Mus musculus: one gene and its partner. The protein of the gene in region 1 binds, or shares a complex with, the protein of each later gene. Links are inferred from orthologs where the notes say so. Each region holds a gene or a part of one and is shown on either strand. Other genes may lie near its edges.

Region 1 (3,643 bases):
GAGCCTTTCCGTAAAAACATAATTAATTGAGGCCGCGCCGACAGTAAACAAGCAATTTCAAATTAAACCGAAATGACGGCGGCTTCATTTGCAAATGTGAACAGATTCTCAGAGCAGATAAATGAAGTCACCACAGAGTGGAGACGAGGGAGAGGGAGGGGCCGAGAAGGGGCTGCGTTAGGACGCTTTGAGGGGTGACTTGATGGAGTCATTAATCTTTACCTGTCTGGGCCACGGTGCCACTCAGTTCCGAGAGACTCGCTGCCATCCTCTCCAGCTGCTTTCTGTCCTCTCGGCCTCCCAGGATGAGGGGCAGCAGGTACCTCTGCAAGAAGTGGTCAGGTGAGGAGGTGGCCAACACCGGTCTCTCAGATCCCACCTCCCTGCTTGCCCTCATCTTCTGCAGGTTACCCCACAGAAGAGCTGCACTCTCCACACTAGAAACAAAGTGCTTGAAAAAGTTACAAGCCTGAGATCCCGGCCTGGTAAGAACTTCCACCTGAACAGGGACCAAGACCAGAAGGAAGTGAGCCTCCAGGTGGGGCTGGGGGCAAGCAGCGTCTCTGAGCTAACTCCCCAGCCTTGGGAAGTCCTCCCTGTGTGAGGGAGGCCTTATTACTTTCTCTTACTTCCCTTAGATACCTCACATTCCTGTGAGGCTTTTAGATTCTATTTCAAAAGTTCTAAGCAGAGACTGCAGAAAGATGTTCCAGAAACGGACCCTATGGTGGCTCCTGGGGAGGAGAGCTAGGCAGCTTCTCACCGCACCCTTTCTGAATCTTTCACACTTCAACTCTGCGAAGGAAACAAACCGCCTCAGCGATCCAGAAACAGTATTAGGTTTGAGTAAACACAGCATTACTGGAGAAACCAGAGGAAAATCAACAGACGCCCGGGATCGTTCATCTTCCATGGTAGGGTAAGGCATGCACAGGGAAAGCACCCTACAGCAGGAGGTGCGCACTTCACAAAGAGAGCCAGGACAGCCTATATCCTCCCAGAACCCAAAGGTGGGGCCGAGGGAAAGGGACACAGAAAGCCAAAGCTGGTGACTGCAAAGCCACCAAACAAGGGTCCTGGAACCAGCCTCTCCATCATTAGGAAGGCGAGGGCACACCTGTAGGGCTTGGGACGCTGATGTACAACAAGGGCTGAGGTAGAGTTGTTAGGTCCCCAGTCGAGGGGGCACAGTCCACTCCAACCCTAGAGCACACTACTCAGCTAACCACAGGAGCCTGGCAGGTGCTGCCCAGAGGGAACGTAGGGTCCCAGACAGGTCAAAGAGGGACTGTTCTCCACTGCCGGTTGGCTCTGTGCTAGGGAAGAGAAGCAGGTCTCTCAGGGGTTTGTGGGAGAACTCATTTCAGGAGAGACTCAGAGTGAGCTTGTCATTTAGCACATGCACAGAAGCAGTTTCTATTTCGCAAAGTGCTTTGCAGCCACAATGTGAGTTATTACCCACAACTGAGCGAAACTCATCAACTGCAGCCTGACGCTTCCAAAGTATAAAAGTCAAGAAATTCTCAGCTGTATAACCAGCGACCCCCATCCCTGAGGCCAGAGCCCGTGAGCGGGAAGTGTTGCCGCTGATCTGGCTAAGTCTGTGTTTGTGCAAAGCAAGACAGCTCCACTTTTCTATACTTAAAGAATACTACTAACATGCTGAAGACACGACACCATTGTGACCAACATTTCAATGTTTCCTTTCTTTGTAAAACACAGGCTGGTGGCCAGAGCTCCATGGAAACAGATGACAATCTCTGTCATATCTGAACCAAGGTGCCACACCTCCTGTTCTGTGGGGTTGCCACTGTGATGAGACACTTGTGAGCTGCTCACAGGACCCTGGTACTTGTGAACTCTGCTGGTACCTGTCTGCAGCTAGTGGGCTAAGAAAGGCTGCCCCACACAGGCTCCACAGACGCTCAGGGGGGAGTTCCAGGCCTGACAACAATTTGCTTCTGAATTCCTGCACAGGCATTTCTTATTTTGGCATCAGGCACTATCCTGAAGAGTTACATTCTGCCACAACTCTGTCATTAGCTATTGTAGGAAGTAAAAAACTAAGAATCTAAGGTTTAAACAAGGTTTAAATACATTTCATGTGCTCAAAGATACACTGCAAGCCTGGGAATTCAGTAGAGTCCTTTAAAGAAGAAAAAAGAGAAAAAGAAAAGAAAAGAAAAACAGTCACTAAATGCAGGCTGGATTAGTGGGAGGCGTCAGTGGAGAACATGACTTCTCTCCAGGGTAAGCAGGCCTAAATGTGGGGCCATCCAGGCTGTGCATCTTGTAGATTAGTTTCTCCAAAGCAAGGACAGGCCTTTCCACTGGTATTGGGAGGAAATGTTGGTTCAGTGCCTTTAGTTCTGCTGTGAGCATCGTGAGCTACGAGCTCTTGAGGGCTCGCTGACTCAAAAGGCCCAGGGAAACTCCCACATTTATACAGATGCTACCACAGTCCACAGAAAACAAGAAGTGTGCTTCCTGAGCCAGTTGTAAATACCAGGGTGGAACAAGGGCATCTATGGGGCTTCCCACGTGCCAGCAGGCAGGGAGCCAACACTGCTCCAGCACTATTCCAGGACTGACTCCTGGCCTTCCCTGAAACCCTGAGGCCAGTTCTGCAGATGCTGGAAGCCATCACATGGAGAAGATGCACTCATACTCCTGACCTGTGCTCCCGCTCTGCCTTCAGTGTGCTCAGACTATTGCTGGAGCAGCTGGGCAAACCCATTAAAATCAAAGCCTCTGTTGGTGCTCACTGCCTCTGTTCCTTTTCTGAGTATCGTACTCACAGTACCGACTGATATGGGCAGGCACACTTTCACAACACTGCAAAGTCGGACTATCTGTCTCAGGAACATCTTATGGATGGAGCTGTACTCTGGGACAGAGTCAGGTTCAACACATATAGCTAGGCTCTGATGTGCAAGCCCGTAACGACTAAATCGCTCTGCTTCTGCAATCTGCATGTTTCTCAGTGGTGCCAGGCACTGCTCTAAATACTTGAGCCAGCCGGCCATCAGGTCATACTGCGGGTGGGAGTCAGGGTGGCGAGGTGAAGCAGCAGTGCTGTGTGCATTCATGTCTCTCCTGCTGTGCTCCCTGCTTCCACCACAGCCGCTGTGCTCTGAATGCCTGTGTACATAATAAGCCAGGGGCCAGGAGGGAGGACAGAGGAGGGAGGAGGGAGGAATACCAAAGGGTGGCAGGGCATAACATGGTGGCCCTGAGAGGCCACTTACCTTGTAGAGTTGGTGAAAGCCAAATGCAATTCCTGCCATGATGATAGCCAAGGCACCATAATCTCGCCATCGGGAGCCTCTGGGGCCTGGGGTAGAAAGGAAGGAAGAAGAAACTAGAACAGGTCTCTGCCCAGGAGTGTCGCAGCGGACAGGCCAGTGAGACACACAGCTGCAGAAAGCACGTGACCATCAGAACATCAGGGCTCGGCTCTGCCCTCTCTTCTTTCCAAGGTCCCAGAACTGTCTGCCTCACTTGAGATGGAAGTGATCTGACCGTGAGATGCTGGGAAGAGGTATCCAGCTGTGAGCCTAGTGCCCAGCCATGGAGGTCAGAAGGCAGAGGGGACAGAAGGACCTTTGGCCTGGCCTCATGAGATCAAGGAACAGGATCATTC
Region 2 (3,743 bases), on another chromosome or scaffold:
CATTCAGGAGGCGAGGGCAGGAAGATCTCAGTTACACTGGAATTTGGAGGACAGTCTGGACTACAGAGATCCTGTCTAAAAACTCAAAGAGCATGTATACGTTTAGTGCAGACATACATTTTCCATTTTCTATCCACAGTTTGTTCAATCTACAAATGAAAAGCCAATATATATACAGGCAGCCTAGCCAGACTTCAGGGTTCTGAACTCCACAATCAATTTTCTCAGACCCCAGTCCTACTCAAGATGGTTGAATTGCCAGAGTCCTAGGTGCCGAGATGAATACTGCTCTCTTCCTGGGCTACCCATCCAATCTCTAGCTCCTCTCCACTAGACTTAAGCAGTCAAGTTACTGATAAAGAGGCAGATCTAATCTCTCATTCATATTCTCTCTCTCCCTCTCCACCCCCTCTCTTTTTTTTCCAACCAAACCCACTTTTCTCTTTATTATGTTTTGATTACCTACAATTGTTATAAGAAGTCACATTTAACATCCTACAGAAATGAATCAAGAAACTAGAAAAGTCATTAGTAGCGAAAATCACCTTCCATCCCAAGAGGAATCAGGACGCCCAGCAACACAGGACATGTAAATGCTCCCTAACAACTACTACAGATGTCCCCACAAGCCTCACCTGTAACTTCGGCGATGAATTCTTGGGACCAGTCGGTCTCATTATAATCTTGAGCTACATCCACAGCATCTCCAGCTGCAAGAAACTCCTGGGCCCAATTCTCAGACAAGGCCAAATCTGCCACACCAGGGGCTTAAAAGAGACAAGAGAAGACTAAGAAAAAAAGAAAACAGGTTCCTTCACACTCACTCATGGGCAACACCTCCTTTTTCTCCTCAGCATCTCAGTCCCCCGATGCCAGCAAAACCCAAGGATGGAAGCCCTCTGGCCTCTTCCCGTCTTACCAGGCCCTGAACCCACCTCTCTGAGGAGCCTGGCGAAAGTTTGACTGTTCAATCTCCTGCATCTCTGCCAGGAGGTCATCCATCTTGAAGGTCTGAGGGGCTCGGGATACAAGAGTTGCATTCTGGTCCTGCAGGAATTCTGACACCAACTATTACAGAGAGATGGTCGGATGAACATTAGGATCAGAGGGCCTCAGCCAGAGGCAGGGCCCACTGATGTTGGACAGAGAAACGAAAACTGGAGATAAATAAAGAAAAAAAAAAATCTATCTGTAAATTTGGAAACCAGAAAAATACCCCAAAAAGTAGACGAAAACATTGGCAGGCAATCTCATTTGGTAAAGAGAGTTCAAAGACTGAAGTATGAGTGGACTGATTTAAAAAAAAAAAAAAATCACCACAACCCCCCCCCCCAAAAAAAAAAAAAGACAGAAAAGAAACTTGCTCTGTTTACCTCGTCTTCAGTTCCTACTCCCAAAGGCTTGGAAACCTAAGATAAGAAGGAAAGAGACAATAGCAGGCTACAACCCAACTCTAACTCTACTGCTTAGGTGGCCTGAGGCAAGTCAAGAGCCTTCACAAAGCCTCAGCTTCTTTGTCTATAAAATAGTAGTCCTTGTCTGTGTAAAGCCGCACAAGGCTCACTCCAGTGTTACTGAATGGTGACTGCTATTACTTTAACACAGAGAAAGCAGCTGTCAGGTGGAAGAAATAGGCTCTCCTAGAACACTCACGGTCTCTGCTGCTGAGGCTCCCGGAGGCCAGGGGCCAGGCCTCAGTCCCTCCTGCCGAAGGGCCTTGTCCTGGGTGAAATGGGTGGCCAGCTTCATCAGCGGGTTGGCACCCCCACATTCGCCCTCCACCAGCTCCCGCATTGCCATGGTGACCAGCAGCTTCCCTGATGGACAGAAGATTAGAACTGTGGTCGGGAAGCCAGACTTTCCCAACGCACGCCTCAGGCCCTATCTAGAGCAGATGGGCCCACGACGGCTCCACAAGGGCCAGGCCCCCGGGGCCACCCCCCGAGGTGTGTCTGGAGTCCAAGAGGAGGCTGTGTCCTGCCTTCCCACTCGAAACGCTGCTTTCGGCTCGGGCTTCCCCTCCAGCGGACGGCAGCTCAGACACCACCCGCCAACAGCAGCTCTACAAAAGGGCCTGGACCCCTGGGGAGCACGGGGAGCGCATCATAAACACGGCTAGACCCGAACTCTAACCTGACGAGGGACAGCGGGGACGCCTTCCACCGTACACCGGGACCCACACCCCCGGTCAGGCGCCAGCTGCGGGTCCCGATCCCAGCTCGTGTCACCTGAGCCCCCTCCCCGGCCGCGCCCGTCCCCGCCCAGCGCCCCGCGCCCCCAGCCCCGTCGCCCCAGCCTCGACCCCGTCCCACGAGGCCACCGCAGCGGCGGGGACTTACGGGCCTCGACCCCGCGCCCCCAGGCTCCAATGCTCGCCGTCGCGGGCCGCACCGTCCGACCGGCCGAGGCACCCGGAGTGGGCTGGGGGAAGGGAGGGGGCGGGAGCAAGGGGGCGGGACTCGGCCTTAAAGGGGCCGGGACGGCGGCGCTGCGGCCCAGCTCAACGGAAACGGGTAAAGGGGCGGGGCCTCAAGCTTGCGCAGCGTGATGGGCGGAGCCGAGATCCTTAAAGGAGACAGTCCTGGACAGTTGGATTGGGGAAACCTGCAGTAGTCCCTAGAACGCCAGGATTTATTAGTGGAAAACTCAGAGGACTGGAGCTAGAAGAGGCCTCTCTGGCTTTGGAGAAAAACCAAGGTTTCAGGTTCCACGGTTCAGCTCTCTTTCCTGGTTCTCCTGCACCTCTAAATCGCCCAAACTGAGCCCGGGAGATTTCGGAGGTCAAATCTATGACCTGCTTCGGCCTCCTAGGCCTGACCCCCCTTCCAACAGACGCTCCTTCAGGACAGCGTCACAGCCTCCAAGGAGACAGGGGCCTGCCTCTACCATCTCTGCGTAATGAAGAAAATAGCTCCGGATGATGACAAATTCTGGTGACTAAAATAGGGTCCAACGCATTTTGAGACCTCAATCCTGTAATGGATGGGGAGAGTGCTGTGAGTCACTCCTCTCTCCTCTTTCCTACTGGTCAAGGTCACGATGGCCTGATTCCCTGCAGCTCCAAGTTGGGGAAACGTGGCAAGGAATACCTTTGATCAGGGAATATGAACCTAAGCCTCAGGCTCCACCATCTGCCAGAGAAATGGCTCGGGTGCCAGACCTCAAGGTCACACTGGAAAGCAAACCTTGATAGCTCACCTAGGTCCAAGACCGACGGACTCCTTGACGTCCTGAGAAGGGGAGGGGTTCAGAGTGCTGGTAGGTGGGCTAGGAGGAAACTGGTTCTAGAAAGGCCTGACGTACGTCCCAACCCGGGGTGCGGGAGAAGCAGGTAGTCTGTAGGTGGCGCCCTGGGGCAGGCTTGGTTCTTTGCTGCCCTGATGATTTCAAAGGTAGCCTTCCTCAGGGAACACAGGCAGTGTAAATTCGTCCCTGGGAAAATAGAAATTGCCCTTATAACTGCAGTGGTTGAACAAGGCAGAATATTGTGCAATGTTTCTGTCTTTAGTACACTGTCAGTATCTTTCAGAGGCCCTAACACACACACATACACCCATTCTCCTTGACCACAAATTTCATCCCTGTCCACTGTTTCCAGGCTGCCATTGTAAAGAAAAAAACACCTAGCAACGAATAAACTAAACCACACCAAGGAGGAAAGGATGCCATCTTGGAAGATGAATATGTTAAAACAGGAGAATCTCTGGAGAAAGCAGTGTTTAAGGAAAGCATATGATGGTTTG

Evidence for each region. The genes of interacting proteins can lie anywhere in the genome.
Region 2: the proteins of Pex14 (region 1) and Pex5 are in contact, whole or in part, in an NMR structure (PDB 4BXU), measured with the Homo sapiens proteins. The link is inferred for Mus musculus from reciprocal best matches to the Homo sapiens genes PEX14 and PEX5. Residues at the interface, in NP_004556.1 of Homo sapiens: Thr31, Phe35, Asn38, Arg40, Val41, Ser44, Pro45, Thr48, Arg49, Phe52, Lys55, Lys56; in NP_001124497.1 of Homo sapiens: Glu59, Leu62, Val63, Glu65, Phe66, Leu67, Gln70.

Annotation. Positions count from the first base shown.
Region 1 is NC_000070.6:148,967,302-148,970,944, forward strand, and holds part of Pex14 (peroxisomal membrane protein PEX14), read right to left. Parts: exon of another isoform or gene 3,335-3,643; coding exon 3,249-3,334; exon of another isoform or gene 326-3,248; coding exon 223-325; exon of another isoform or gene 1-222. UniProt on the Homo sapiens protein: Component of the PEX13-PEX14 docking complex, a translocon channel that specifically mediates the import of peroxisomal cargo proteins bound to PEX5 receptor.
Region 2 is NC_000072.6:124,412,634-124,416,376, forward strand, and holds the start of Pex5 (peroxisomal targeting signal 1 receptor), read right to left. Parts: upstream 2,435-3,743; 5' UTR 2,340-2,434; intron 2,249-2,339; exon of another isoform or gene 2,134-2,248; intron 1,818-2,133; 5' UTR 1,801-1,817; coding exon 1,654-1,800; intron 1,410-1,653; coding exon 1,374-1,409; intron 1,069-1,373; coding exon 936-1,068; intron 768-935; coding exon 636-767; intron 1-635.